Linked DNA regions of Diceros bicornis minor. The main gene of each other region encodes a partner of the protein of the gene in region 3 in a complex. Links are inferred from orthologs where the notes say so. Each region holds a gene or a part of one and is shown on either strand. Other genes may lie near its edges. The genes, in order: STK11, STRADA and CAB39.

Region 1 (9,577 bases), on a different chromosome or scaffold from region 3:
TCAAAGGAGATGTGCTGAGATGCGTCGGTATTAAGGTTACGGGTGACCTTTTTTTCAAGTGAGGGGGACAAGCGCAGGCCCACGGCAGCCCCCCTGGCAGGAAACCAGGCGACAGGAGGGCACCCTGACCCGTCCTGCCACCTGGGCAAACAGCGCCCCTTAAGATAAAAGCTTCCCGTTGGAACTGGAGGACTCCTGAGGCTTGTGGGGAAGGTTCTGGACACTTCACACCAGAGAGGCGACTGGAATTGAGTTTATTAAGCCTCTCGCAGACAAAGGAGGCTTTTTTCCCTGCAGGCGGCTGGCAGCAAGGCCGGCCCAGGAGACGGGATCTCGGGCCTGGGAGCGGACACCCCTGCCTGCGCCCGAGAGCCTCCAGTCCAGAGCGCTTCGGTGGGACTTGGGACAAGGGATGTGGCGCCCGTGGAGCAGGCATGTCCCCCGGCACGCAGCCCCCGAGGCACGGTGGGTTCTAATGCCCAGCTGCACAGCCGGCAGGTCCTGGTGCCAGACGCGAAGGCGGATGGACAGCACAGCTCGGGCCAGCCCTGCCCTGCCCTCCGAGGGAACCTCTGAAAGGCAGAGTCTCTGCACGTCCAGGGCTGAGCTGATGAAGTTCGGCACAGCGCCCTGCGGCTGTGACATCTTATGCTAATTGCCGGCCACTTGGTGACGGCCAACCACTCCGCCTCCCTGGCCTCGGTTTCCTCTCCAGCTCCCGATGGACACTGCACACCCATGTGTCCCCACAAGCTCTCGGGACCTCGGGTGACTGTTCAGGAAACCAGGGGCTGGGACACTGGCGCTCCGTGGCCCTGCAGCCAGGTCTGGTCATGTGCCCCGTGGAGCAGAAGGGAACTCCTCGGGGTGGTGAAGCGTCCTCTGACTTGACTTTGGGCGCGAGCGTTTCTGAAAACCAGCGTCTTGATCACACGCACACAAGGCCTTAGCAAAGGTGGGCACTTGCCCACCCTGACACCCCCCCCCAGGGACCCCTCAACTCTGCTGCCACCAGTTGCTGCCCCTGGCCGGGTTTACACACTGAAGCCCCAGGACGGCCAGCAGCTGGGCTCGGGTGCCTCCAGCCACACAGCCCAGTCGGAGCTGGGACCCGGCCCCCTGGACCAAACTCTGGGAGACCCTCCTACCGCAGGGCGCTGCTCCCGAGAGGCTGGGGCCTGGGGCACCACAGCACCAGAACACCCCCCGGACCCGGGCCGACTCCACCCTGGAGGGCTCGGCCAGGCAGGAAGAGACCAGCACCCTGTTCCCGGGACAGAACGGGGCACGAGGCCTACCAGGAGCCAGGACAAGGAGGGGCCCTGGAGAGCGGGAGGGGATCTGTTTCCAGAGTCAGCACCCAGAACGCAGGAGCTCACTGTCCCCCACCCGAAGCTGGGGTAAACCTGCTAGGCAGCCGCCTCACCCCCACGTGCTCCAGGCTTAACGAGAAGCCAGCAGTGGAGTGGGGATTTCTGACTGGGGTGAGGGGTCCCCCAGCCTGTCTCTCCCCAGATGCTGTGGCCCCCACCCAACCCCCACCTCACAGGTAAGAGACTGGCACAGGACTGACGGAGGGAGGGGCCGGGGGTGCCCGGCCACGCCTCCTCCCAGTGTCCACAGGCTGGGTCACAGAGACTGAGAAGACCTCACCCCAACACTGCCCACCGTGCCGGCCGACCCCAAAGAAGCCTACTGCTCCACCAAGCAAGGGGCACCGGCTCTGGAGCCCGTGCCAGCCCGGCTTCAGTTCTCGCTCCGACCCCAACACCAGCACCCCCAGGCTGTCCCAGAGCAGGAAAACAGCCAGCTCGCGGGCTGTGCAGACAGGCAGAGCGGGCCGGGCCGGGAAGGAGGCAGGTGAAAGCGGATCCGGGGGCAGCACTGCCCAGGACGGGCCTGGCAAGCTTGTGGACCGTCCAAGGTCATAAGTCAGCCCTGCCACCAGCCAGCCTGTTAGATAAGCCACTTCTTGGAAACCGGAGGCTGGGAGGGGAGCGTGCGCCAAGGGGCGGGGTGCACCGAGGCGGCAGCGATAAGGGGCCCCCTCCTGAAACTGGCAAGAGGGAAGGAGGCAAAGCTCCCCACCTCCGTCCTTGGGGCAACTCTTGCTCACAAACCCCAAACCTGCCGAGGTGCCTGGGGCAGACGGGCTCCAAAAATACTTGTTTAAAAAGTTTGCTGGACACAAGCCTGTTCCCCTCTGGGGGAGGGGGGAGTCCCCGGGGCCTGCAGTCACAGACACGTCCAGTGTCACCACCCAGGCCGGCAAGAAAGGGCTAAGTTGCCCCCTGCTGACTGATAAGCCGGTGCAAACAATCACTTGGCCACCGCAGGGCTCCCCTCCGACAGGATCAACAAAGCGTGTTGGCCTGGCCCCAGCGCCGGCCGCACGCTGCGCCCAAGACCTGCCGGCGGCCCTGGCGGTTTCTGAGCACACGCTCTCAGGGCCAAACACTGGCTGCTTGCACCGGGCACCCGAGTGCTCCGGACAGCTGGGAGGGTCGGGGGGAGAGGGGCGCGCCCCCTTCGGAGGAGGGCTTGGACATCCGCCCCCCAACAGACTGACAGGCGGACGCCCCGCAGCAACAACCTGTCCCGACTTTCTGAAAGTACTTAAGCGGGTTTCCAAACATGCTCTTCCTGGCAGGGAGGACTCGGGAGCTGGCTGGTCAGCTCAGGTTTTTAAGGAAGGGGAGGACGGAAGGAAGGGAGAGAGGGAAGAGGGAGGGAGAAAGGAAAGAAAAAAGGAAGGAAGGAAGGGAAGGAGGGAGGGAGGGAGGGAGGGCGGGCGACCAAAGTCCCCGGCTGGCGGCGCCCGACCCAGGAAGCCCAAACTTACTTCTTCACGTTGGCCTCCCCATTGGGGATCCTCCGCAACTTCTTCTTCTTAAGGATCTTGACGGCCCTCCTGCACAGCGTCTCCGAGTCCAGCACCTCCTTCACCTTGCCGTACGACCCCTCCCCGAGCAGGTCCCCCATCAGGTACTTGCCGATGACCTTGGCCCGCTTGCGGCGGGGCTGGTAGATGACCTCGGTGGAGTCGATGCGGTGGATGAACGTGTCCATGCCCACGGACATCAGCTCGCCCTCCGTAAATATGCCCAGCTGCTGCGGGTCCGCCGCATCCATCCTGGACCCCGGGCCTCCGACTCCGGCCGGCAGCCCTGACGCCCCTTACTGTAGTCCCGGGTGAGCGGTTCTTCCTTTCGTTCCCCCCAAAATTCCCTTCTCCGGAAAAAAAGTCAACAAAAACGCAAAAAAAGAAATAAAAAAAAACCCTTCCTCGAAAAGAAACGATTGTACGAGACGAGAGTTCGAGAGGCGCGCCTGGTCCGGGGCGCGGGCGCCGACGGTGCGGGGCGGCGAGTGCGGGTGCCGTCGGGCCTCGCAGCTCCGGGTCGTTGGGGCGCGTCCACGGGGGCCCTCGGGGCGCTGAAGTGCTAGGTCATCCTCCAGGGACTTCAGACCCTCGGACCAACGCGGCGGCCGCAGAGCCGGGTCTCCACCGGGCCGTCCATTACCGGCGGGCCAGGGCGCGCGCCGGGGCCCCGCGGCGGCCGGCCGGTCCCGGGACCCCGAGGCTGGGCGGACGAGCTGGGCCGGGGCCGGGGCGCGGTGTTGGGGGGTCTCCGCCGTCCCGGGCGCCCCAGACGCCGGCAGGTGCCTATCCGGACAGCGCGGGGGGCGCCTCCGTCCGGCCCGGTGCGCTCTCGCCGGCCCCGGGCGCGCGTCGGGGGTCCGGGGGGCTGCCCGGGGCCCTCGCGCCGCGGGGAGCAACTTCCGTCGGATCCGGCTGCCCCTGGGGCGCCCCCACACCTGCCGGGGACCCCCGAGAGGCCGCGCGCGCCCGGCGGGCGCCCCCCGCCCCAAACGGCAGCCCGCGCTCGCTCTGCGCCCCGAACGCCGTCGGCCGCGGTCCTCGGGGCGCGGGGGACCCGCGGGGCTCCGGGGGGCCGAGGCGGCGCAGGCCGCAGGCCCCGGGCCGGGGGTTCCCGAGGCCGCCGGGGCACGGGCGGCGCGTCCCCCCGCCGCAGTCGCCGCGCGCGTGAAGCAGGCGGGGCGGCGCGGGGGCCCAGCCCATGCAAGGCGGCCGCAGTCCGGCCGCCCCGCCGCCGCTGCCGCCCGCCCCTCGCCTCACTCGCGGGCGCCCCGGGCCGCCTCCCCCTTCCGCGCCCGACACGCCGCCGCCATCTTGTTTACCTCCCGCCCCCGCCCTGCGCCGCCGCGCCGCCGCACGCCCGCCGCGGGGCCCGCCCCTCGCGGCGCCGACGTGCCCGCCCGTTGGCTGAGCCGGCAGGCCCCGCCCCCGCGGGCTGCCCTGTCGCCGCCGCCGATTGGGCCATTTGGACCCGGGGGGAGGGCGAGCGGGGATTGGCCCGCGTGCGGCCCCGCCCCAGGGGTGGATACGGCTCGCTCATTGGCCCGCCGAAGCGCCTGTCACGCGGAGGGGGCGGGAAGGGAGCGTGGGGAGGCGAGGCCGCGGGGTTGACCTCGGAGGGGTTTGAGGCTGGGGTCGAAGGTCGTGAGTGCTAACGGCCTCCTCGGAACGGCCAGGGAGTGGGCACCGCCCTCGTGGGCCGGGATGCGGCTCTGGGACCTTTGGGGGTGACTGCTAGGGCCCCTCGTCCGAAAGCCCCCTGGAGGCGAGGTCAAGGGTCAAAAAGTAGCCCAAAGTGGCCAATGGGAGGCAAAAAGCCATCACTAGGCATCAATGGGGCTGGAGGGCGAGAGAGGTGCTCTGGACGGTCTCTACCCTAAAGAACTCAGGAGCCAAAGCTCAGAACAGAGCGGGGGCGGTGCCAGCCAAGTGCTTTGGGTGGAAAACACAAAGAATTGGCACAATACTGCTCCATGAAGTTGAAAGTACCTCCCATACCTGAATTTTCTGCCTTTCTGCTTTTTAGCACTAGATTATTCTTTTGTCAGAGCAAACCGCTTGTCTTGAGTAAAGCTCTTGTTTCACAAATAGCCAAAAAGTGGAAGCATTGGGGCTCAGGGCTGGGGGTTCTGAACCCGAGACCTGTGAACTCCCTAAAACTGCACGAAATTGAGCGTGCCCATATGCATGTTGTTCCGGACATCCATGAGATTCACAAATGACCCGTAGAAGGGGATTGGTGTGGCTCTGAGGAGACAGGGCACAAGCCACAGCAGCAGACCAGCAAGCCCTAATAAAAATGTGTGGATTAGCCCCAAATTCCTTTCGAGAAGGAATTCATAAAGATCAGAGCAGCAACACATGAAATAGAATAGAAAAAGAATAAAGAAAATCGATGAAACCAATGATTGTTCTTTGAAAAGATCAAAAAAATTGGTAAAAGTCTACCCAGATTGACCAAGGAAAAAAGATGACACAGGGGCCGGCCCGGTGGTGCAAGTGGTTAAGTGCGCGTGCTCCGCTGCGGCGGCCTGCGGTTCACCAGTTCAGATCCCGGGCGCACACCGAGGCACTGCTTGGCAAGCCATGCTGTGGTGGCGTCCCATATAAGGTAGAGGAAGATGGGCACGGATGTTAGCTCAGGGGTAGTCTTCCTCAGCCAAAAGAGGAGGATTGGCAGATGTTAGCTCAGGGCTGGTCTTCCTCAAAAAAAAAAAAAAAAGGTGACACAGGTGAGAAATGAAAGAAGGGATGTCACTACAGACCCTACAGATAGCAAAAGGATTAGATACTGGGAATAACTCTATGCCCATGAATTCAACATCGTAGTTGAAACGGACCAATACCTTGAAAAACACTGAGATAGAAGCTCACTCAAGAAGAAATAGATCATCTGCATAGTCTTATGTCTATTCAAGAGATTAAATCTGTACTGAAAAACCTTTCCACAAAGACAATTAAGGCCCAGATATCTCGTTGGTGAATTTCCACCAAACATTTCAGGAAGAAATAACATCCGTTCTAAAAAATCTGGCCTGGAAGCAGAAGAGGAGGGAACACTGCCCAACTTAAATTCCTTTCGGTATCCTCTGTGTTTTTGAGTGCTGCCTTAAACTGAAATTTCTTGGAAGCTGGGGGTGTGTTTGACAATCTTGGCCCATGTAGGCCCTGCTCTCCTTCGCGGAGCCCACACCCCTCTCCCGATGTGCAGGAGACATGGAAGGAACTTGGGAAATGTTTGGTGACTGTTGCAGAAAGAATTCGTGAAGGTGAAATCTCGCCTCAGATGCCACCTCCTCCGAGAAGCCCTCCTGGTGATTCCCTGGAACGCTTGTCACCTTCAGAAATTTTCTCATTTATATATTTCATTATCTGTTTTTATTCTGTCTCTGGCACTAGACTGGAAGCTCTTGGGGGCCGGGGTCGGTTTCTCGTGGTCACTGCTGCATCCTCAGCAATGAGAGCTGTGCCGTCCAGTACAGCAGCCGCTGTTCACATGTGCCTATTAAGCTCTTGTGATATGGCTGCCAAAATTGAGATGTTGTGAGTGTAAACTACACACTGGATTTTGAAGGCTTAGCATGAGAAAAAATACATATAATATCTCAATAATTTACATTGATTGCACGTTGAAATGATATAATTGGATGTGTTAGGTTAAAAAAAAATGTTATTAAAATTAACCACTTCATATCCACTAGGAAGGCCACGATCAAAAAAATGGGCGATGACAAGTATTGGCAAGCATGTGGAGAAACGGGAACTCTCATACAGATGGTGCAGCCACTTTCGAAAAAAATTCAGAAGGTTAAACATAGTGTTACCGTATGGCCCAGCAATTCCACTCCTCGGTATATGCCCAAGAGAAACGGAAACTCACATCCACACAAAAGCTTGTACACAAATGTTCACGGCACCTTGATTCACAGCAGCCAAAAAGTGGAGACAACCCAAATGTCCATCAACGGATGATGGATACACACAACGTGTCCATCCACACACTGGAGTATTACTCAGCCATGAAGAGGAGTGAGGCCCTGACACAGCCACACCGTGGATGGACCTTGATCACACGATGCTCAGTGAGAGAACCAGACACAGAGGGACACGCGGTGTGTGTTTCCACTGATGTGAAATGTCCAGAACAGGCACATCCACAGACAGAAAGTGGGTTTGTGGTTGCCAGGGGCTGGGGAGGGGGTGGAGAGTGACTGCTAGGGAGTACAGAGCTGTTTTTTGGGGTGATGGAATGTTCTAAAGTCCTCCCTCCGTCCCCCTCACAGGTGAGCCGACTGAGGCTTGCAGAAAGGAAGCCACCTGCCCAGGTCCCTGGTGGAGCTGCGTGCCCAGCCTGGGAGCCCCAGCAGCCTTGCGAGGATTCTAGCACCGTCTGCTCAGCGTGATGGGGGTCTCGGAGCTGTTCAGCTGTCCTGCTTACGTAAAAGTTCCTAGCAAGCATCAAACCCAGGGCAGGCCAACACGGAACCAGATTTAAGAGCCCTTCCCAGCATCACAGGGCCTGAGACCCCCGTGGGGGCTGCTCTAAGCCTCTCCAGGGACCCTCTCTCGGCCCCAGCCCTTTGCCCGGCGGAAGTCCTCAGTTGGGGGGTCTTGGCCTCTCACTTTCCGTTTCTCTGAGTGGGGGTTAACAATACCATATGTCATCAGATGGAAGACGCTGTGGCAGTGACATGTTCTGTGACCTTAGGAACCACCACGGAGAGAAGACTCGGAGACAGCGATGACGCTCCCGACTGAAAGAGGCAGCCTGACCTCTGGGGGGGCAAACTGTGACGAATGGGAACGGTAGTAGCAGGAACAGACGAAGGTTATGAGTACCTGTGGTCGCCCTGGGAAAATCCTTTCTCTGCATTCTCCCATCCTCACCCTCCCGCAGGTTTTGTTAAGAGCCCCGAGTGACAGGTGGGACCCCAGGTTAGAGGTGGGGTCTCAGGTTGCCGTTGAGGGGCCCCAGCTTATAGGAGGGGGCCTCAAGTTACAAGTGGGGGGCCCCAAGTTATAGCGGGGAGCTCAGGCTACAGGTGGGGGACCTTGTTATAGATGGGGGCATCTTACAAGTGGGGGGCCCCGGGCCATAGGTGAGGGCTCCAGGTTATAGGAAGGGGTTCCAGGTAATAACAGGGGGCCCCAAGTAATGGGTAGGGACCCCATATTATAGATGGATTATAAATGGGGGCCTTAGGTTATAGGTAGGAGCCCCAGGTGACCGGTGGGGGCCCCATGTTATATGTGGGAGTCCACCAGCCCCTCCTGGGCTCAGGCCTTGCCTCTGCCCACTTCTCCTCTACCCTCTGTCCCTCACCCCTCTCATTTCTCCTGCCCACTCATGACCCCCACACACAGACATTCGTGCCCAGTGGCCCCCAGACCCACTCGTCCCTCATAGCTCCCCCTCCCTGACCCTCTCACTTCCCCAGCTCTGACGCCAAGACCCCCTCCCCCCTGAGGACAGAGGAAGCCAACGGGCCTCCTGTCCACTCTCTTGGCCGGCCGCCCCATCCTGGATCTCCTCCAACTCTGTGGGTCTCTTACAAGTCGGGTCCCTGATCCCAGGACCACCCTCTCCAAGGGCCCAACTCAGCCCCTGACCCGAGGAGCGGGGCCCCCAGGAGCCAGAGGGGGTCCTTCCAAAGCCAGGTCGGCCCCCCACCCTGGGAATCCAGCCATCCAGCCATGGCTGCAGGTTAGGATGCGGCCCGGGAGAGGCCAGTGCGTGTGGACCTCTGTGGCCGCCAGGGGGCGGGCGGGGATAGTGGCCGAGACTCCTGGAGGGGGGTGTGTGTGTGTGTGGGTGTGTGGGTGTGTGGGTGTGTGTCTGGGTGTGTGTGTGAGATGCTCGGGACCACAGAGTTTGAAGCCCACACACGATCCCTTGGGGCAGTGACACCAGATCATCACTGTTGTCACCCCTTGTTGGGCCTCGTCACACACGTCATCGCAGATAGAGCAGGGAGGCCCGGACTCACACACCAGAGTCACCCATCCTTCACTCTAGACCAGATCCTCCCTTGGCACTGCTGACCTCGGGGCTGGGTCACTCTCTGTGGGGGCCGTGCTGGGCACTGTGGGGGGTTGAGCAGCATCCCTGGCCCCACCACTCGATGCCGGGAGACCCCCCAGTCGTGACAATCACAGATGTCCCCAGACATGGCCCAGTGTCCCCTGGATTGCCTGGGTTGGGAATCCTTGCTTTAGAAACACACTCTGAAGTATTTATGGATGAAAGCACGTGACTCCTAGGATTTTGCTTCAAAACATTCCTGGGGGTGATGTGCCAGCTGAAGCATTTGGGAGAAAGTGTCCTGACATGGCCCCTGGTGTTTTATTTTTAAGTAAGGTGTAGCAGGTTGAATGGTGGCCCCCAAATCAATGCCCACGTCAAAATCCCTAGAACCCGTCACTGGGTCCTCACTTGGAAAGAGGGTCTTGGCAGATGTCACCAAGTTAAGGATCTTGAGACGAGCTCATCCTGGATTACTTACGTGGGCCCTGAAACCAGTGAGAAGCATCCTCATAAGAGACACGCCGGGGAAATTTGATGGAGAGGGGAGACCGCCATGGAGAGATGGAGTGATGGAGTGACCGCAGAGATGGAGTGACGTGGCCACAAGCCCAGGCCACCTGGAGATCCCGGAGGCTGGAAGAGGTAGGAGGGACCCTCCCCTGGAGCCTCCG
Region 2 (9,643 bases), on a different chromosome or scaffold from region 3:
GGGGTGGACCTGGATAGTTTTGTTGAAAGAGTGGGGCTTGAATGTCAAAAAGAACTTAAAGAAAATGAGAATTCCAAGCATGAAATAGTATTAGCTACTGATTATTTAGCGTTTACCTGCCTTGTCCACAGGTATATCTTTCGGTTTCTAGAATAGTGTCTACCACATAGTAGGCACTCAGTAATATTGACTGACTCACCAAATGTGCTGAGAAGGGTGTCAGCACTTTACATATACTCTCCAATTAATGTGAGGGCAGTTACAGAAGCAGAACTCTACACATACAAGAACCATGAATAGGCATTAAGTGCATGCTAGAGTATGGATTTTATTCACCAGGCAGTAGGAAGCAACTATAAGTTTTGAATAGAAAGGTGACAGACACAAAACACTGGTCTAAAGTAGTGTCTCTCAAACTTTACTGTGCATGCAAATCACTTGAGGATCTTGTTAAAATGCAAATTTTGATTCAGAAGGTCTGGAGTGGGGCCTGGTAATTCGTTTTTTTTTTTTTTTTTGAGGAAGACTGGCCCTGCACTAACATCTGTTGCCAATCTTCCTCTTTTTCCTCTCCAAAGCCCCAGTACATAGTTGTGTATTATAGCTGTAGAATTGTAGCTCTTCTATATGGGATGCCACCTCAGCATGGCTTGATGAGTGGTGAGTAGGTCCGCGCCCAGGATCCAAACGGGCAAACCCCGGGCCGCCAAAGTGGAACACACAAACTTAATTGCTATGCCACCAGGCCCGCCCTGAGCCTGGTAATTCTAACAAGCTCCCAGATGGTGGTACTGCTGCCGCTTTGAGGACTATCATATTGACTAACGTTTGAGAAGCCTTGTTCTAAGGAACATTCTAAGGAATACTAATCTGCAAAGGGATGGGAGACGGGGAGGTAAAAATAACCCAGAGAAAGGAATGCCAGTTAGAATACAATTATCGTGGACCATGTTTGTGGTGATATAGATGGATAGGGGAGAAGGAAAAATAAAGAAATTATATTTAGTTAGTAAGGACACCATAAATCTCCTAGCCCATCCTCCACCCTTTGGAGGAATAGCTTTTACCAACTCCTGGATATAAGGTTATCTAATCTCTGCTTGACAACTTCCCATGCCAGAGACTCACTACTCTATCAGAGAGCTCATTCTACCTGTGGACAATTCTGATGACTCCGATTTTTTTAATGTCCAAAGTAACTGGGAAAAGAGTAGTGTCTCAACGACAGAAACAGGAAAGCTCAGAGGTGGAAGTGGTTTTGGTGGAAAAATGAGTTCGAGTTTTTAAATCATATTGAGGTTGAGAAAACAGTTATATATCCCAAGTGGAAATACATAGCATTCAGTTAGAAAAGTAAGACTGATGCTTAAAAGAGAGGTTAGAGATGCCTATGTGGACTTGGGAGTTAGCAGCCAAAGCTATACGAATGACAGAAATTCACTAAAGGAGAAAATGGTGAGAGAAAAGCAGAAGGCTGGGAAGCAAGCCTCAGGATAGGTCCATATTTAGGACATGGCTCTTGAAAGGCAGGTAGGAAATGGAGCTCAAAGGAAAAACTTTAAAGATCCTCCTTCCCCTACTAGACCACCTTCCCTCCCCCAACTTGGTTAGTTTTTTTTTTAATAATTTTATTTATTTTTCTCCCCCAAAGCCCCAGTAGATAGTTGTATGTCATAGTTGCACATCCTTCTAGTTGCTGTATGTGGGACGCGGCCTCAGCATGGCCGGAGAAGCGGTGTGTCGGTGCGCGCCCAGGATCCGAACCCGGGCCACCAGCAGTGGAGTGCGCGCACTTAACCGCTAAGCCACGGCCCACAACCTGGTTAATTTTGACCTGTCCCTCTCTACTCATCTCAGATGTTCTGTGCTACAGAAATCCTCCCTCACCCCCCACCTCCCCACCCCCACCTATGTTAGATGTTCAGCCTCTGTATTCAATCCTTTCACCTACCACACTCTTAATCGCCTATTTATTGGTCTCCTTCCCTAGAATAGAGATCCCTTGAGGGCAGGGAATGCATCTTGTTCACTGTTGCATTCCCACGGGCTACTGAGCCCAACACATAATATGGGCACTCCTCTATCTGTTAAATTCATAATAGTAAAAATAATAAAAGCAGCCAGCGTTTATGGTGAACTATGTGCCAGGATCTGTGCTAAATGCTTCACAGAGATCAGCTCACAATAAGTATTATCGCCCCCATCTTACAGATTAAGAAATGGAGGCCCCACATGATTAAACGCCAAAGTTACAGAAGCAAGTGGTAGAGGACTGATTAGATCTGTTCCAAAGCCTGTGCTCTAGAAACCGGTGATAATCAAGAAGCCTAGGGAGAAGAGTCAAGGCTGTGTGTGCAAAAATATATGACTGAGAAGACATTACCTGATTTGACAATACTGCTAACCAGACGCCAAATGGTATAGAAAGGAGAATTCATTTACCTTGATTTTTTTCTTTTTTCTTATTTTTGCCACTGGTTTTCTAAACTTCCTCCATGTCTGGGGTTACAACTATAAACACTGCATTTGAACCTCAATACCTCTAATCAACTTGGTTAAAGGGTGGGGGAACAGATTTAACTAGTTCAGCACTGCAACTAATGGCTGAATAGGCTCTTGGCCTTAGGCAGATAATCAGAGGAAATTTGGTTTCTTCAACTTTCAGGGACAAGAAACAGTCTTGGGTGTCTCTAGAAAGTATGAATCAGTCAGTGAAGAACTGTCTTAATGCTGCAAATATATAATGAAATACAGTTCTACTTCAACAGATACTACAATAAAAAAAGGACCAATTCCAATGCTTTTCCTCTTTGGGGGAAGTGAAGTTAGAATATGCTAGGATATCTTAGAAGCCAGCTCTGGTGGTTTAATGGTTAAGATTGGGGGCTCTCACCAATGCAGCCCAGGGTTCATTTCCGGTCAGGGAACCACATCACCCATCTGTCAGCTGACATACTATGGCGATTGCGTGTTGCTGTTATGCTGAAAACTATATGGTACAGCAGGGTCACCCATGGTGAAGAGGCTGCAGGGGAGCTTCTAGACTAAGAGATACTAGGAAGAAGGACCTGGCGACCCACTTCTGAAAAAATTGACCATGAAAACCCTATGAATATCAACAGAGCATTGTCTGATACAGCACCAGAAGGTGAGAGGATGGCGCAAAAGACCTGGCAGGGTTCAGCTCTGCTGTACACAAGGTTGCCAGGAGTCTAATGGACCTGATGGCACTCACAACAAAGGATATCTTAGCACAGGGCAGAGAAGTTAGTTCCCCATTTCCCGAAAACTTTTATTTAACCACTCCCCCTCCCTCGTGCTCACTTCCCTACCCCTTATCCCCACCTTCACCCCAAATCTACTGTGAGCACTTAAACATTCTTGGAAACCAAGACAATTTGTTTGGGCTGATTCCGGGAGTCACCTGGATCTCTGTCCTTAACGGGGGCTTGACCTGCTGCCTGCCCAGCCCGGGATGAGATGGGGATGTGGTGGTGGTGCTGGGGAAGAGGTCAGCACTAGGATCTGCCGCCTCTTTGCTTGAGGAGGACAAACCGACACGTGGGCCCCAGGTTCCCCACCTAGAAGTCTGGGGGGAAGGAGGGAGGGAAAGCAGGCGCTCGTCTCTCCCGCCCGGCAACTCCGCTCCTGAGTCTCCCGGCCAGGCCCAAGCCTATTCTGCTCTCGGGCTGCAGCCCCTCACTGCGAGAATCGAGGAGGACTCGGGTGAAAAAGGGCCCGTGGAGGGCGACGGGGGACCCGAGAAGGCCGCTCTGACGAAGGCCCGCCCCTGAGGAGATGGAATCGGCGGCAGGGCAAGGAGGGACCGATCCCTGGAACACACCAGGCGGCCCCGCCGGCCCGGTACCTGGTCCTGGAGTCAGCAAACAATCCCGACCCCGTCTCAGCTCCGCCTCTTTAGTTTATGGCCGCGCCGCCGCCCGGCCAGTTGCTGGGAGGGAAGTACGCAACGTGCCATGCGCAGTACAGGGACCCAAGCGCGCGGGCAGAGAGCCCCTCCCCCCGCGGGCCCAGCGGCTGACGGAACTCCGCCCCGTTTCTCCTGGCCAGAGCGGCTGAGGGAGCCCCGCCCCACCCCGCCCCACCCCGCCCCCGCCCGACCAGCGGAAGAAGCCCCGCCCCGGCCCGGCCCCCGTGGGTGGGGAAGCTCCGCCCCGTCTCTCCGGGCCCTAGAGGGTGAGGAAGCTCCGCCCGGTCTCTCCCAGCCGGCGCTGCTGAGGAAGCTCCGCCCGGTGTCCGCGTTGCCGCGGCGCGGGGAGGCCCCCAGCAGTGGACCCGCGGAGAGCGGTTCAACGGTTCTGAGTTCTCTCATTGCGTGAAGCGCGTACCTGAGGGCATTCCGTCTCCCAACAGAAGGGACCCATTTCCCCAAGTGTGTGGAAGCCAAAAACCTAGCTTGTCGTCGGTGCGGCCTGCGGGGTCCCAAACAGGCTCCCCAGAGCCTCCGCCCGCGCAGCAGGAAGGAAGTAGGAAGATTTCAATACTGAGGAGTCAGGGGGACTAGAGAAAGGCAAACCAACACTGGCTGCTGACTTGGCTACTTTGAGGATTTTGTTTTTGTTTTTATTTCGTGTGGTAGGACTTCAATGGAAAATTGAATGTCTCGCATTTTTCTTTGAAGACATCTCAAATGCTCCTCACTTTGGCCTCTTGGGCACCAGACTGACAAGCTGCAAAGGGGAAACCCAACCTTTCTCTGTGCCTCAGTTTCCTTATCTGTAAAAGGAAGAAAATGGCTCATCTAATGGGAACTATCATTTTTTTCCCTTCTGGATCTTTTTGTCCCTGGATCCTTCCTCATCCACAACTCTGAGAGACATGTTCTGTTTGCAGAAACCTATAAGGTTTGCTTTTATGGAGAAGCTAGCCTAAACCAAGGCATGCAGGGCTTGAGAAATGAAGAAATTATGGAGCAAGACTCCCTTCTGTGAGGCTGCGTTTTTTCAGTTACTCTACCCACGGTGCGGGGGAGAGGGGTGTCCAACATTGGATAAATATCATCAAGTAATGAACACTCACTCGTCCCAGCTCTGACCCTTGACACGGATTTATACTGGTCTAACTTCCACAATGGGGGAGAAGTTCGGCTACATCCAAACAGGGAGTGATGCAAATATGACGCTGAAACAATATGAACTTTGCCAGTGCACGAATATGCACCTCAGGGTCTCATTCAATTTTACATACATCCTTTTGATCTTATCTAGTGCTTTAACATTCCAAAGCACTACCCTCACTATTCTTTCATTCTCAAAATAAGATGCCTCTCTCAGCAGCAAACTTAGTAAACTGACAAAGCAAGATAGTAACAGAAACTGAAGTAAAATTCTTGGTGGTGTTCTTTGGAAAAGACCTTCACAGACGGTCTTTGGAATTGAGGGTACTAGAGAAGATAGTGCCTGAAAAGATGCCAAACTTCATGCAGTCATCACAATGTGGAATTGAAACATGGAGGTACTTTCCATTTATTTTAATATCTAGCCCTAGCCCAGAGCTATGTCATTTTCTAATTGGATGTCAGTTGGCCAAGGGAGCTAAAAGATCTCACCTTCTTCATGACTGCCCACAAAAGCTGGTTAGTGAACCTTTTGGCCCAGACTCTGTTGTGACTGTTTCAAGGAGCAAATGTTCATTAGCTTTATTTTTCCTGCAAAAGGGCCTCCTAAATCCAGATAACTTAGAAAACTGGTGTAATGAAAAGTCAACTTTCAAAGTTTACAAAGTCAGTCTTTTCCGGCTTTGCTTTTTTGACTGAACCCTGGGATGCACAAGCTCCCTAAAGTTTTTCACTTACTTATAATAAGTGTTGGGACTCTCCAAGATTTCTGGAGCTTTTTGCAACTGGCTTGAAGCCTAGAGGAATGGAGATGAACTGAAGATCCTGGCTGTTTTGTTTTTAACTCTGAGCATCCAGTTTGAGCATCCAGTTTAAACTAAGTGCTGCCCTCTTCAAGATACCGCATAAATTAACTGTGAGCAACGTAAAACTAATTGCCTAATGAATGGATAAAGAAGATGTGGTGTATATATACAATGGAATACTATTCAGCCATGAAAAAGATGAAATCTTGCCATTTCTGACAACATGGATGGACCTTGAGGGTATTATACTAAGTGAAATAAGTCAGACAAGGAAAAATACCGTATGATTTCACTCATATGTGGAATATAAAAAACAAAATAAACAAAACAAAACAAAAACTCATAGAAACAGACAACAGATTGGTGGTTACCAGTAGGGAAAGGGGTTGAGGGAAGGGCGAAATGGGTAAAGGGGTCAATTATATGGTCACAGATGGAAACTACACTTTTGGGGTGAGCATGCTGTAGTATATACAGATGTCAAATTATAATGTTGTACACCTGAACCCTATACAATGTTATAATCAATGTTACCTCAAATATATATATATATATACACACACACACACACACACAAATACTGTTCACCATAACGCCATAGAGTGCAAAGACAAACCAGAGTAGAAGATACTTACCATACATAAATCTCACAAAGGATTTGCATTCATAATATATATATTTTAGAACCTCCTACAACTCAATAACAAAAAGACAACCCAACAAAAAAAAATGAGCCAAAGACTTGGTATACATGACACAAGGAGGAAATTCTAATGGCTGGGAAACTATGACAAGATGTTCACCATCCTTAGTCATTGGGAAAATGCAAATGAAAACCACATGAGACCCCACTGCACACCCATCAGGATGGCTAAAATTAAAAAGGCCAACAATATCAAATGTTGTTGAGACATCCTGTTCTTCCTGGAACAACAGGAACCCACATTCTTTGTTGGTGGCAAGGCAAAAAGCTATTTGAAAAATTGTTTCTATGAAAGCCCTTTGCAATTCCACTCCTAGGTACACATGCATCCACCAAAAGACACGGAATACTGAACAGCAGTGAAAATGAACCAGCTGCAATTATACACAAAAATACATGCCTCTCATATAATGTTGAGTGAAAGAAGCCAGATGCAAAGGACTATATACTGTATGACTCCATTTATGTAAAGTACAAAACAACACAAAACTATGCTGATGGAAGTAAAGACAGTAGTTTGGGGTGAGGAGCTAATGGCTGAGAGGGAGCACAAGAGATCATCCTGGGGCACTAGAGATGTTTTCAATCTTCAGCTCCGTGGTAGGCACAGAGGTGTATAAGAATGTAAAACTTCAATGAGTGTGCAGCTAATATTTGTGCCCTTTACTTTATGTAAGTGATACCTTAATAAAAAGTTAAAAAAAAAAAACAAAACTAATTGCCCAGAATACTTGAGAGATAAAAATGCATAGATGTGTAGTTTAACAAGTTGAGCAGGATTTTTTAGAGCATTTTATATATCAAAGTACTTTATACATGTTATCTAATATGATCCTCTGAACAGCCATTTTAGAAAGGGGAGAGAAGATAATGCCCACTTACAGATGAGGAAATAGACTTATTAAAGCACTAGGACAGCACCTAGGTCCCTGCCCACAAATCCAGGGCTCTTTCCTGAAGCAGAAAACTGGCTTCAATTGCAGCTTTGTTACACCCTTGCTAAGTAATACAGTTACATGTAAGAAAAATATGCAGAAGAGCTATTTAAGCATTTAAGTTTAAAATGTGATAGGAAAGCAGTTAAGAGTTCTCCCTCAAGCAAAGGTGATACAACAAATAACCTAGGCAGATGTCATATTATCTGATTTTGAAATAACTCCCATGGAACTAAATACTTAAAAAGGCTTGGGTGTCTTTTAAATAAGCAAAAGTTACACCATTTGGATAAAACCAAATAGGTGAAATTAAAGAGGACAGTTAATTTTAAAAGATGAAAATAAAATGAATAATATCCATTAAAAGCAGTATAGTAGTAGACACAAGTTTCTGTCTTTCAGGAAAAAAAACTGGTTTTCTTCTGAAATTGGTATTACTTAGTTCATGGAGCTGAGATGGCATTCAACTTGTGCAAAGACAAAAACATTATACTTCCTTCCATATGCAAATAAGTGTTTTGCTCATCATCAAACTCCAGAAACCGAGAAAAGTAATACTTTTTGCTACTGTTTTAGCAGTCTGCAATAGAAGACACTGCTATGGGTATAACTGTCTCCTCCCCCTTACATCCTTGCAAATCGTTCAGAATGAGCAGAGGCAGGAACAGTAAGAAAACAGAATCTGAGATGATAAAGTACAGTTTTCACCCCTCCCACCAAAACCAAAGGATCCTTGTACAACACTGCTCTAAATAATTTTCATATTGCCAATTCCTATTGGATGGGTGGAATGAGAATTCCAATCACTGTTTTCCTGTGGTCTAAGTCCCATCCAAAGAAAAGAGTTTCACATCTGGTGCTTGACAGGGAAAAGTTTTCTATTACTAAGCAAACAGAGTAGTAAACTATCCCTCCCCGCCACCTCCCGCCTCCAAATACCATCAAATTTTGCAGATAAAGTTAGAGAACTCTGAAAGGACCTGCTTGGTTTCCACTGGGAGAAAGGGAAGCAAGAGAGTCAAGCAAAAATGCACCACTTGGAGAACAGTTCTAGATGATACCTTACATTTTTTTTTTTTTTTTGGTGAGAAGGACTAGCCCTGAGCTAACATCCAATGCGAATCCTCCCCTTTTTTCTTGAGGAAGATTGGCCCTGAGCTAACATCCGTGCTCATCTTCCTCTACTTTATATGAGACACCGCCACAGCATGGCTTGCCAAGCGGTGCGTTGGTGCGCGCCCGGGATCCGAACCTACGAACCCCGGACCGCCAAGGTGGAGCGCGCCCACTCAACCGCTTGCGCCACCGGGCCAGCCCCAGAAACCTTACATTTTTAAAGTGCTATCGTTTACAGGAGAATTTTACATGTATTATCTCTTGGTATTGACCTAACTGGGAGGTAGGTAGGGAAAATAATTATAATCCTCACTTTGTGGAAGGAAAAACAGAAAGAACAGAAACTCAAAGAGGTTAGTGACTTGCCCAAAGTCAAAGGATTAGTAATTGGTTTTGCTGGCACTAAATAAAAGCCAAGTCTTTATCTTCCAGGCCAGTGCTTGTTTCAGCATTGCTAAGTGCCCTGGCAAGGCAGACAAGATTGGAGGGCTTAGTGGTTTTCCAGTGTGTGATAGTCAACACTATTCTCTCTTTGTCCTCTCATTCATAGGAGAGATAATGGTGTCTTAACTCAAGAGGGGGACTTTGGGGAGAAGCCCATGAATAACACATGGGGCTCTAAAAATATAAAACATTCTAAAAATGGTAACTGGTAACAACTAAGGGAAAAGCATTTCAGTGCTGACTTTTACTGAACAGACAGAACACTCCTATGGGCTTATACTCTTGTAGGGCAATCCCAGAAAAGTAAAGGCGGCACTCTGAGATTCTTGGCAATAAGTTTAATATATGTTCATATGAATGCTTAAATTACAAAATTAGCTGCCATGGTCCAAATATGTGGGACTTGAAGAAAGCTTTTATTAATCAAAAGATAGCTAAGCATATCAACTTTGATTTCTAAAATGTATTTTAAAGGTTTGTAAAACAAGGCTAATTCTAGAATTATATAGCATTAATTAAATTTTGTTATTTTAATAACTTAATTTTTGGTTAAAATTAATGG
Region 3 (10,292 bases):
TAAGACCAAGCTACAAAATGTATATTTTGTTTCTCAAACATTTTATCCAAACAATCAAAGTGCTGTGATGTTTTAACATCATCATACTTCCTTGTCATCAAATTTATCTGCTGTATAATGCTCCCAAGGAATAATTATCATGTAAAATCAGACTGCCACTAAATATTGGTTAAGTAGATTTTCTCAATCTTTGTAACTATGCATGTGAAAATGCATATATACATATAAATAAGCAAACACAAATCTACAACTTAAACACTGTATTGTGAGTATCAAAATCTCAAGTTACACACAACGTAGTAAGGATTGTGCAAATAGGTATGTGCTGGACAATGCCAGAGGAAACGGCCAGGGCAGGCTTTACCTCCCTCCTCTGAGGCCACTTCACACCTGACTGACCTCTTGCAATTCTCTGAATGCCATTCTTCCTTCCTCTGCCAGCTTAACATCACAGTTGCTAATCAACCACAATTCTGCCGTGCTCTCACCCCTTCTATCTCAAGCGAAAAGTTAAAAGCACGGTGGGGCCAGGAAGCTCAGTGAGATAGAAATGGCACATCAGAGGACAACACACACGTGCACATGCACACACACCACAAAACAGAATTCTGATGGCAACCAGCTGTTAACTTTAATTTCACCACCATCAGTATATATCATCTGCCACCCAGCCCTGTATTAACTCTTCCCACAATCCTTGGAAGGCCTGAGAAACAGAAGCAGAACAAACATTTAGCGCTTACTCCCAGACGGGTCTACTTTACAAATGCTGGTGGTAGAAATATTTGCCTCACTTTGCTCTACCCCACACTCCAGACTGATAAAGGCAGCGATTAGGGTCCAGTTGGATAGTCATTAGAGTGGTGAGACACCCAAAGCTCAATTCCTTCTTTAATTAAGGATGGCTCCAACACGAGTCTTCTCTCCAATAAAAACAAAATATACACTGATGACTAAATGTTATGCAATTTTTAGACTACCTGGCTTGATCTGCATTCACACAAATACAAGATCTTTACACCTCAATAATTAAATAACAAAACGAGTCACAAGCAACCTAACCCAGAGGTTCAGAGATTTGATCTTCTTTCCCACGATTTTATCACACAACATTTTGCCAATATCCATACTAATCCACCTATCACATTCCTATTTCTGTAACACCAGACAACATCCATAAAATCAAATTCCTAATTAAAAGGAGCCATGGAAAAGAGGAAAATAGATTTTTGAAATAGAAACAACACCAGAAAAGTAACCAGAAGACACTACCTGAAATGAAATTCGGCCCTATATTGGATTTTATTTTTGCATGGTGTTGGGGGGGTGGAGGCGGGGGGGGGGGGCACGATCCGGATGTATGTCTGTATTTTTATGACAGATGGCAAAACTGTGAATGATCAGTGATCAATCCCTCCTGGAAAAAAGGCAGTGATGATAGAAATCTATAACCTACAAAAGTTGATCAAAAGAAAACACTTTAGTAAATATTCAAAAGTAATAAACGATGCTTTGTGGTATACATACTTGCAATATACAAATAAAGATTTAAATAAAACCAAATTATAAAACCAAACCCCATACTTAAACTGGACTTTCTTAGCTATTCTTTTATATTAACTTTATGAAAATTTATACAGTCTAACTCAGCTTCTCACTTTATACGCCATTAGAAAGAGAAACAGAGACCTCATTAATACATTTTAAAATGTAAAGCACCAGGGAAAAAACTGGTTTAAACAAAAACCTGCAATCTGAAATGCTAATGAACTAATAATGAAATGCTAGTGAACTGCTTTGAATCAAAAAACATAAAAGCCCCTTTTGTTATAGCAGCAAATTATTTCATGATAAATTCTATATTTTACTAAAGAAATACCAATAGAAAAACTAAATACATCTAGCCTGAATCTTTGTGATGTCATGATCAAAAAGTGGATGGCCCTAGCATAAAGACTATTTTTTTCGGGGGGGGGGGTGAAAAGGGAAAGTGAGGTGCATTACTGTATGGGAGATTATACCAGCTATGAAAGTAATCTTTTTATAATGCCTTTTTAAAAGTACATCCACTCATATAGCAGAGATGTGAGATCTCTCCCATACCTGATGACAGCACGCACCCCTAGTAATAAAACCTTTCTCTAGTCAACAAGCAATAGGACTCAAATCTTACAAAGAAGTTAATAAATACACTTCAAACAAGAAGCCTTTATAACAAGTTCTGTCCACAGTAGCAGTTATTAAGCATGACTACTGCATTTTATCTGAGGTAAATAATGCAACCTTGTCCAAAAAAAATAATACATTTAAGACTTCCCTTACTTGAGTAAAAATATTTTTATATGAAGACATTTAATGACCAAAAAAGAAAAGCTTAATAAAAGTTTTTTACACATATGCAGTTTATTTCATCATGTAAAGAAAAAAAAGACTGAAAAGGAAACCAACAAACGTTCTAAGCTGCTCCCATAAATCATATACCCTAGACTTCAAATACAGCTGCTAATTATTTGCTACTAATTAGAAAAAATGTACAAAATAAAGCTAAAGACTCACTTCTGGCTCTCCTATAAATATTTTCATAACTAAAAACTCCAAGAAATTTTTACCTTTCTATAAAAGGGTTCTATGTCCAATTTTCAATCTCAGATTAGTAACAATCTGATTTCTTAAAATCATCAATTTAGATTGGTTTACACAAAGGCCATCTCAAAGAAGTTATGTTCAGCTCAGTAATCCTGAAGTGTAGACACCTAATACACAGCGCAAGAAGTTTTGGTGCATTTTAGTGAACTGCACCAACAGAAACGCCTCATGCGCACACGAGCTTATTTTATTCACATCTTTCCATTAACTCTTAAGAGCCTAACATCTAATGAAGCTTTTTGCAAAAGGTACTTTGCTTAGTCTGGACATGGATTTATTTGAATATCCGGGAAGCTGTCAAAATCGATCTCAAAGTGCATTATATTCAAGGCACAGAACGTCAACTCCTTCCTGGGCTCCTCTCTTTTCTTTCACAAGAGCGCCTTTAACATCCCCTAGCTTACATTTCCGGACTCATGAGTCACTCAGAAACGAGCTCTAAGTTTCCCTCAGAATGGCACTCAAACAGCTCCTCTACAGCATTCAAGGATCTGGCCCCCAAATACCTCTTTAGCCCATCCCCACTCCCCCACCACGGCCCTAGGCAACAAACTGAATTATTCACTATTGCTAGACTACGTCTTTTTACCTTTGTCCTCTAGCTTTGCTGCCCCTCCACACATCGTCTCTTCTGCAACCCTCCTCTCCCAAATCCCATGGGGCCTTCAAGACCCTGCTTGGCACCGCCTCGCCCAGGAAGCCTTCCAGATTTCTGCTGGGCGGAAGTGATCGATGGGTCGTGTCTTCCCTGGGTGCCTTCCTAGCACCTTGCAGTTCTTTCACGGGACTTATCACCTCCTTCCTGGTATCGTATTATTTGTGTGCTACTCCTCTTATCTCCCACACCAGAGCGGTAGCTCCTCGGGGGAGGGGACCGCGGGCCCCGCTTCACCTTTGAATCCCTCGGGCGCGGACCGACCGGGGCGCCAGCACGCAGTCGGCGCTCGAGGTGGCTCAACCGAACTCGGGGACGCTCCGGCCGCGCCGTTCCCGACCGGAAATCGGTTAGGCATTTTCCCGAAACGAGGATCACAGAGATGCGATCTGCCTCCCGGGAACAGGAAGTTGCCCCGGGGCCGGGAGCGGGGCGGCCGGGCCTGGGTGCGGTAGGAGTGACAGCTGGCCCGGCCCGCACGTCCCTGCCCTCCCGAAGCCGGCCGGGGACGCCCCCGCGCCGCGCGGAGCCCCGGCCGCAGGCCCCCGGGCGCCGCGCCGGCGAGGGCAGGGGAGGCTGCGGAGGGGCCCGGGCCGCCGGGCAGGGCAGGCCCGAGAAAATGGAGGCACCCCGGGGCCGGTGACGGGCCGGGCAGGGCAGGGCAGGCGGAAGCCGGGCAGCGTCCGCGCCGCGAGCAGGGCCGGGGTCACTCACGGGGCTCGGCCGGGCGGCTCCCTCTCCGCCTCCGCGTCGTCGCCGTCCCCGTCCTCGGCCGCCGCCGCCTCGGGCTGCGCGCTCGGTCCCCGCGGCGCGGCTCGGGCGCTCGGCCCCTCCGTCGTCTTCCGCCCGCTCCTGCTCCGGGCGACGGGCTCCCGCGGCGGCGGCGGCGGCTGCGCGGGCGGACGGCGGCCCAGGGGCTCCCGCGAGGGCCGCCGCACTGCTGCTCGCGCTCGCGCGCTCGGGCTGCGGCTGCGCCTGCTGCTGCGGGGCCCGGCGCCGCCTTAGCCCCCTCGCCTTCCCCGGCTCCTGGACGCTCGGTCTCCCCCAGGCCGCGCCGCTCCCCGCTCGCGGCCCGAGCCCGGCTTTGACGTGCGCACTGCGCAGCCGCCGAGGGCGCGACGTCGGGCGGCGCCGCAACGCCCCCCTCGGCCTCGGGCGCCCCCGGGCGGCCGGGCGGACTCAGCGCCGGAGTCCGCGCCCAGGCCCAAGCGAGAGCGGACGCAGAGAAAAGCAGAAGCCAGGGCGAGAGTTCCTCTTCTGTCATCTGCCTCTTAAATGTCGGTGCTCAGCCCTTTCTCGTCTGTCTAAGCACTCGTCCTGGCGGAATCCCTCGCCCGCTTTCTACGACCACTTCCTCAACTCTTAACAAAGCTTTATTTCTGCTAAAGGCCAGGAGCTGACTTGGTGTAGACGACTGTTTCGTACTTTCGATGGACTTAACTCTCACTTGAGCATCCTCTGTAGCATCCTCTCCTGCGTGGAAAGTGATGGAATGATCCAGATTAATAGGACTCAACAGCCTGGATTTAAGTCCCAGCTCCAGGGGCCGGCCCGTGGCTTAGCGGTTAAGTGAGCGCGCTCCGCTACTGGCGGCCCTGGTTCGGATCCCGGGCGCGCACGGTCGCACCGCACCGCTTGTCTGGCCATGCTGAGGCCGCATCCCACACACAGCAACTAGAAGGATGTGCAACTATGACATACAACTATCTACTGGGGCTTTGGGGAGGAAAACGGAAAAAAAGGAGAAGGATTGGTAATAGATGTTAGCTCAGAGTCGGTCTTCCTCAGCAAAAAAGAGGAGGATAGACATGGATGTTAGCTCAGGGCTGATCTTCCTCACACACTCACAAAAATAACAGCTGAAGAAATAAAACATATGTTATTTAAAAAAATAAATAAATCCCAGCTCCATCATTTAGTATCCATGGCCTATTTCATGTCCCTGTGCCCGGGTTCCTTCACACACACGCAAGTGTAATAATAATAGAGCACCATAGGCTTATGAGAATGAAGGAGATAATGCATTGCAAGGCTCTGACAAGAGACTGGTACATAAAAATGCCATACATGTATATTTTTGTTTCTTTGTTTTTAATTGGTAATTGAACAGGTATTTTCAGTATCCACTGTGTGCCAGGCACTATTCTAGGTGGTGGGGCAGTGAACGAAACTGTCCCTGCTCCTGAGACAACCAACTAAACAAACCAATACACATTATGATACTGGATGGTCTTAAGTGCGATGGAGAAAAACAACACAGGCTAAGGAGGGGAGAGAGTGCAGGGTATCTATTTATAGTCCTCCCACAGGGAGCAGCTACAACAAGAAAGAGCATGCTGAGAGCTGCGTGCGTGGAAAGGCAGAGGGAACAGCAAGGACCAAGCTTTTGAGGTGGGAATGTGCTGTGGAAGCTTGAGGGGCGCAGTGGAGCGCATCAAGGCGAGAGCACTGAGTGAGGGGAGCCGGTAGAGATGGGGTGAGGGGTGTGGGTAGCGTATAGACGAAAGTGAAGACTTTGGTTTTTACTCTGAACGAGATGGGAAGCTATTTGGAGGGTTTTGAGCAGAGAAAGGATGTGGTCTGACATTTCAAAAGGATCACGCTGCTCCTGGTGTGAAGACCAGCCTGAAGGGCCTGAGGGTTTCAGCTGGGAGACCAGTTTGAAGGCTTTTGAAACAATCCTGTCAAGAGAAGACAGGTTTGGTCTAGGGTGGTAGTCGTGGAGGTGTAAAGAAGCGGTCAGGTGCTAGACACATTTCAAAGGTAGAGCTGACAGGATTTTGCTGATTTCTAAGTTTTTTTTTGTTTTTGGGTTTTTTGCCCTAGCAACTGGAAGATACAATTTGGTGAAGTGGGGAAGACAAACAGAAACAGATGTGAAGGGAGGAACTGGGGAATTTATTTGGGGGCATATCAAGTTTGAGCTGCCTGTTAGACACCCAAGTAAGAAGCTGGATCTAGAAGTCTGGGGTTTGAAGGGGAGGTCCAGGCTGAAGAGAGAATTTCGAGAGGCTTCAGAATAGGTAAAATCTCAGGACTCAATGAGATCATTTAAGAGAAAGAGTGTTAATACAGGGCAAGGCCAAGGACGAGGCCGAGGCCCCCGACACTGAGAGGTCAGGGAGATGACAAGGAACCAGCGAAGGATTCTGAGCAGAGGGTGGCAGAAGGAGACCCAGGAGAGCATCGTGTGCTGGGCGACCAGGGATGGAGCATGGATCAGTGCCACGATTGCGGCTGTAATGCAAGGAAGGTTGATGTTGGTGTCAGCACCACAGAGGTAACCAGTGGTGTGGGGAAAAGCTATTTCAGCAGGGATGGGTAGGAAAGCCTGATTGGAGTGATCTCTAGAAAGAATGAGACCTAGAAAGATCTCTAGAAAGGATGGGGCTCTAGAAAGAGACACCACGAGTGTAGACAACTTTTTCTTGAAGTTTTGCTCTACAGGGGAGCACAGAAATGGGATGGTAGCTGGAGGGGAATGTGGGGTCAAAGCTGATTTTTTTGTTTTATTTCGTTTTGTTTTGCTTTTAGGATGGGAGCTATTACAGCCGGCTTAAGTGCTGATGGGAATGATTCAGTAGTGAGAGAAAATTTGATGATGCAGGTGGGGGGGCATTTTCTGGGGAGCTGTCCTTGAGTGAGCAAGAAAAGGTTGCCGCGCACAGCGGAAGGGCTGGCCTTGGATACCAGCAAGGCGGCGTCCACTCACAGTAATAGAGGGCAGGCAGAGTGTAGGCACAGAGGCAGGCAGCCAGCTGGACAAGGCGCTGGCACATGTGGATGTTCCCTTCTGAAGGCTTCTGTTTTCTCAGGGAAATAGAAAGCAAGGTCATCAGCTCCTCGTGTGGAGGGTGGGGAGGTGTCAGAAGTTTGAGGGGAGAGGAGATGTGAAGAAGGACCAGTCAGAGGGGTTATTCTGTGTTTTTCTGTTGGCCACGTTTTGCTGGGAAGGTGCAGGCACAGGAAGGTGGGGAGTTGGATGCAACCAGGGTTATTTCTGCTAGATAACTCCATGGAGAGAGAAAGGGGAAAGGAAGGCGAGGGTTATATACAGGAAGTAATAATAATAATGACCAACTGTTGAGTCCAAGCCAGTAAGGAGGGAGTGAGAAAATGCAGATGAGTATGGGGGCAGTAGGAGGGGAGACACCCTGTAAAAGTGATAGGATCAATGGAATGAAACGTGTGTGAAAGGATTGTTAGAATCAGCACCGTAGGGAGAATGAGCTGGAAAGGAGGAGGTGCTAGCTGAGAGCCGGGTTGCTTACACTGAGATTACGGAAGGAGCAGTGTACAGTAATGACAAGATCTGGGGCGTCTTCTCAAACGGTAATGTCCATATGCGTTACCAGGGGTCTTGTTGAAATGCAGATGTCGATTCCATTGGTTCAGGGGAGGGCCCATGATTCTGCATTTCTAACAAGTTGGGAGTCGGATGGGATGCTGATAATTCTTATTCTTGTTACGGCCATGATACCAAAGCCTCAATAAATACAACACACACAAAAAGAAAGCTAGACTAATCTTGCTAGAGAATATATATGAAAAACCTAAATAAAAAGTATGAAATAGAAGTAAAATAACAGCGTGTTAAAAGTGAAGTCCATCCCAATCAAGGACAATTTATCTCAGGCAGAAGCCATTAGAAAAACATAGCTGTCTAGGGACTGTTTCGGCTCGGAGGGAAATCAGCTGAAAAATCCCTAGCAGGCTGGTTCGTGGAGCTTCTCTTCGCTTCTCTCTAGAAACTGTGGAAGGGAGGGAGGTGCACCACCCTCTCCAGTGAGCCGACTGCAAGTTTTATCTAATTTGAAACTTTGTTCAATAAGACTTCACTCCCACGGCTTTTTTTTTTTTTTTAATTGTAGTCCCAAGGGGAGGCCTTTATTGGGCTGATATTCCACAAAAACAAGTCAGGACCTAATTTCTCACAGAATAAAAGAACGCGTGGAAGTGGATAATCCTATATGCAGGAGTTTGAGTCCTTTGCTTTAAGGGTCAGAGCAGGATTCCAGGTTAATCTCTTCACTGGGATAAGCCCACTACAGTTGAGAATTGTGGCAGCCAATTTCTGGAGAGGGATTTGTAACAAATTCCGAAGCCAAAGTGGAAGGAGCCATGTCATTTGCCCGCTTGAATTTACACTGGGAAGACACCTTCTCAATCCTTCCACTGAGCTCTCTGGAAAGCCCTTTCTATTAATATATTTCTTTGTAGGTACAACCTCTTTCTGGGAAATTCCACCACCTCTTCATCTTGAAACCCTCTCCAGAGGCCCCTCACTCTCCTGTGCAGTGTCTGCAGAGCTCAGGTTCATAAGGCAGGGTCGTTATTATCCTGGAGTCAGTGTTGATCCTGTCAATCCTGTAACTCTTCCCTCACTTTCATTTCCTTTCCTCTCCTCCGATGAAGCTGGGCCCTCAGTGAAGGCACCTCCCTGCCTTAATCACACCATCTATGAAAGGACTTTGGAGCCTGACTCATGGCTTCCTTGCTTACCCCACCCCGTATCTGACGTCTCCTGGGCAACGCAGATGCCACTCATCCAATACGTTGGGTCATAATTCCCTCGTATTCTCTGCTCCAGTGACCTTCACTTCCATTCCTCTTCAACAGCCACTTGGTTAGCCCCACCCTGGTCTCGGCCATCACCACGACTCTCCCTTTGAAGCTTGAACTCTGTGACTCTCGTGTTTAACTGCTCCTCCCATCCACCCACCCTTCCCACTCCCTCATACCCACCAAACCTGCTCTAAATCTCACTGAAACTTTGTTTATTCAACAAATACTACTTGAGAGCCCATAATGACTGGACACAAGCAGTGGGGATGAGACACTGAACAATACATGGACCCTGATCTCAATGAGTTTGTAGTCCAGGAGAGACACACCAGTTGACAGGCAATTACAGAAGAGTGAGACATGAAGCATGAATAAGATTTAGCCTATTAAAGATGGGGGTAAACATTCAAGGAAAATCATGTGAATAGCACCAAAAGCAGAAGGCACAGTGAATTTGGGGAGGTGCATATGATGGCTCAGTATATAGAATTTAGAGTTTGGGGAATGGAATTATTTTTTATTGCTATTTTTTTTCCAGCTGTATTGAGATATTATTGACATATAAGGAAGTTTAAGGTGTATGATGTGGTGATTAGATCCATGTACATATTGCAAAATGATTACCACGATAAGGTTAGTTAACACCTTCATCCCCTCACATAAATTATGATTCGTGTGTGTGTGTGTGTGTGTGGTGATAACATTTAATATCTACTCTCTTAATAACTTTCAAGTACACAATGCGGTATTGTTAATGATAGTTGGCATGCTGTACATTAGACCCCCAGATCTTATTTATCTCATAGCTGGGAGTTTGTACCCTTTGACCAACATCTCTCCATTTCTCCCACCTGAAGCCCCTCGCAACCACCATTCTACTCTCTATTTCTATGAGATTGGCTTTTCCTGCATATAAGTGAAAACATACAGTATTTGTCTTTCTCTATCTGACTTATTCTACTTAGCAGAATGTCCTTAAGGTCACAAATGGCAGGATTTGAGGAGGGGAGTTGGTACCAGATAATGTTGGAGAGATAAGCAAAGGTCCAATAATGAAGAGCCGTATCATCCACGTTTAGGAGACTGGGTTTCAACACCCCCAAGGCAGTGGGGGTAGGTTGAGTGGAGTGGGCATTGAAACTTTAAACCATGGAATGACAAGCTCAGATGCGTGCTTTAGCTTTAGAAACAGCGCTCTGATCCTGTGTGCACTGTGGATGGGAAGAAGATCAGATTAGGGGAAGTGAGACCAGCAGGAGGTTATTCTCATTCTGGCAAGAGATAATGGGGCTGAGCTAGGATCCTGGCAGTGGGTATGGACAAAAGGGAATCAGTTAGGAAAAAAAAATATTTAGAAGGTAGTACTTGGTGATTTGATGGATATAGATGGTAGGGGGGAATGAAGAATATAGGATGAAAATCAGGC

The links.
Region 1: the proteins of CAB39 (region 3) and STK11 are in contact, whole or in part, in a crystal structure (PDB 2WTK), measured with the Homo sapiens proteins. The link is inferred for Diceros bicornis minor from reciprocal best matches to the Homo sapiens genes CAB39 and STK11. Residues at the interface, in NP_001124321.1 of Homo sapiens: Gln109, Gly111, Thr112, Lys196, Leu197, Leu238, Asp239, Arg240, His241, Phe243, Met246, Ile250, Val280, Ala283, Asn284, Pro285, Glu317, Gln318; in NP_000446.1 of Homo sapiens: Gln100, Arg103, Arg104, Glu165, His168, Ser169, Gly171, Leu201, His202, Pro203, Phe204, Ala205, Ala206, Asp207, Asp208, Phe234, Arg301, Ser307, Arg310, Lys311, Lys312.
Region 2: the proteins of CAB39 (region 3) and STRADA are in contact, whole or in part, in a crystal structure (PDB 3GNI), measured with the Homo sapiens proteins. The link is inferred for Diceros bicornis minor from reciprocal best matches to the Homo sapiens genes CAB39 and STRADA. Residues at the interface, in NP_001124321.1 of Homo sapiens: Leu26, Glu27, Lys28, Gln29, Tyr55, Gly56, Thr57, Asn58, Ala85, Asp86, Gln88, Leu89, Phe92, Glu93, Lys96, Arg107, Glu138, Leu141, Ile145, Ser176, Thr177, Phe178, Asp179, Ser182, Asp183, Glu221, Asn222, Tyr223, Val224, Arg227; in NP_001003787.1 of Homo sapiens: Pro64, Leu104, Glu105, Cys107, Ser108, Asn109, Val112, Gln116, Leu119, His120, Lys123, Leu124, Phe125, Asn126, Thr136, Phe137, Ile138, Asp140, Asn141, Leu143, Tyr185, Met189, His223, Gly224, Arg226, Val426, Asp427, Asp428, Trp429, Glu430.

The regions. Positions count from the first base shown.
Region 1 is NW_026691553.1:692,134-701,710, reverse strand, and holds the start of STK11 (serine/threonine-protein kinase STK11), read right to left. Parts: upstream 3,854-9,577; 5' UTR 3,133-3,853; coding exon 2,843-3,132; intron 1-2,842. UniProt on the Homo sapiens protein: Tumor suppressor serine/threonine-protein kinase that controls the activity of AMP-activated protein kinase (AMPK) family members, thereby playing a role in various processes such as cell metabolism, cell polarity, apoptosis and DNA damage response.
Region 2 is NC_080757.1:46,575,776-46,585,418, forward strand, and holds the start of STRADA (STE20-related kinase adapter protein alpha), read right to left. Parts: upstream 3,972-9,643; 5' UTR 3,869-3,971; exon of another isoform or gene 3,845-3,868; intron 3,839-3,844; exon of another isoform or gene 3,425-3,838; intron 1-3,424. UniProt on the Homo sapiens protein: Pseudokinase which, in complex with CAB39/MO25 (CAB39/MO25alpha or CAB39L/MO25beta), binds to and activates STK11/LKB1.
Region 3 is NC_080776.1:19,249,582-19,259,873, reverse strand, and holds the start of CAB39 (calcium-binding protein 39), read right to left. Parts: upstream 4,266-10,292; 5' UTR 4,016-4,265; intron 1-4,015. UniProt on the Homo sapiens protein: Component of a complex that binds and activates STK11/LKB1. In the complex, required to stabilize the interaction between CAB39/MO25 (CAB39/MO25alpha or CAB39L/MO25beta) and STK11/LKB1.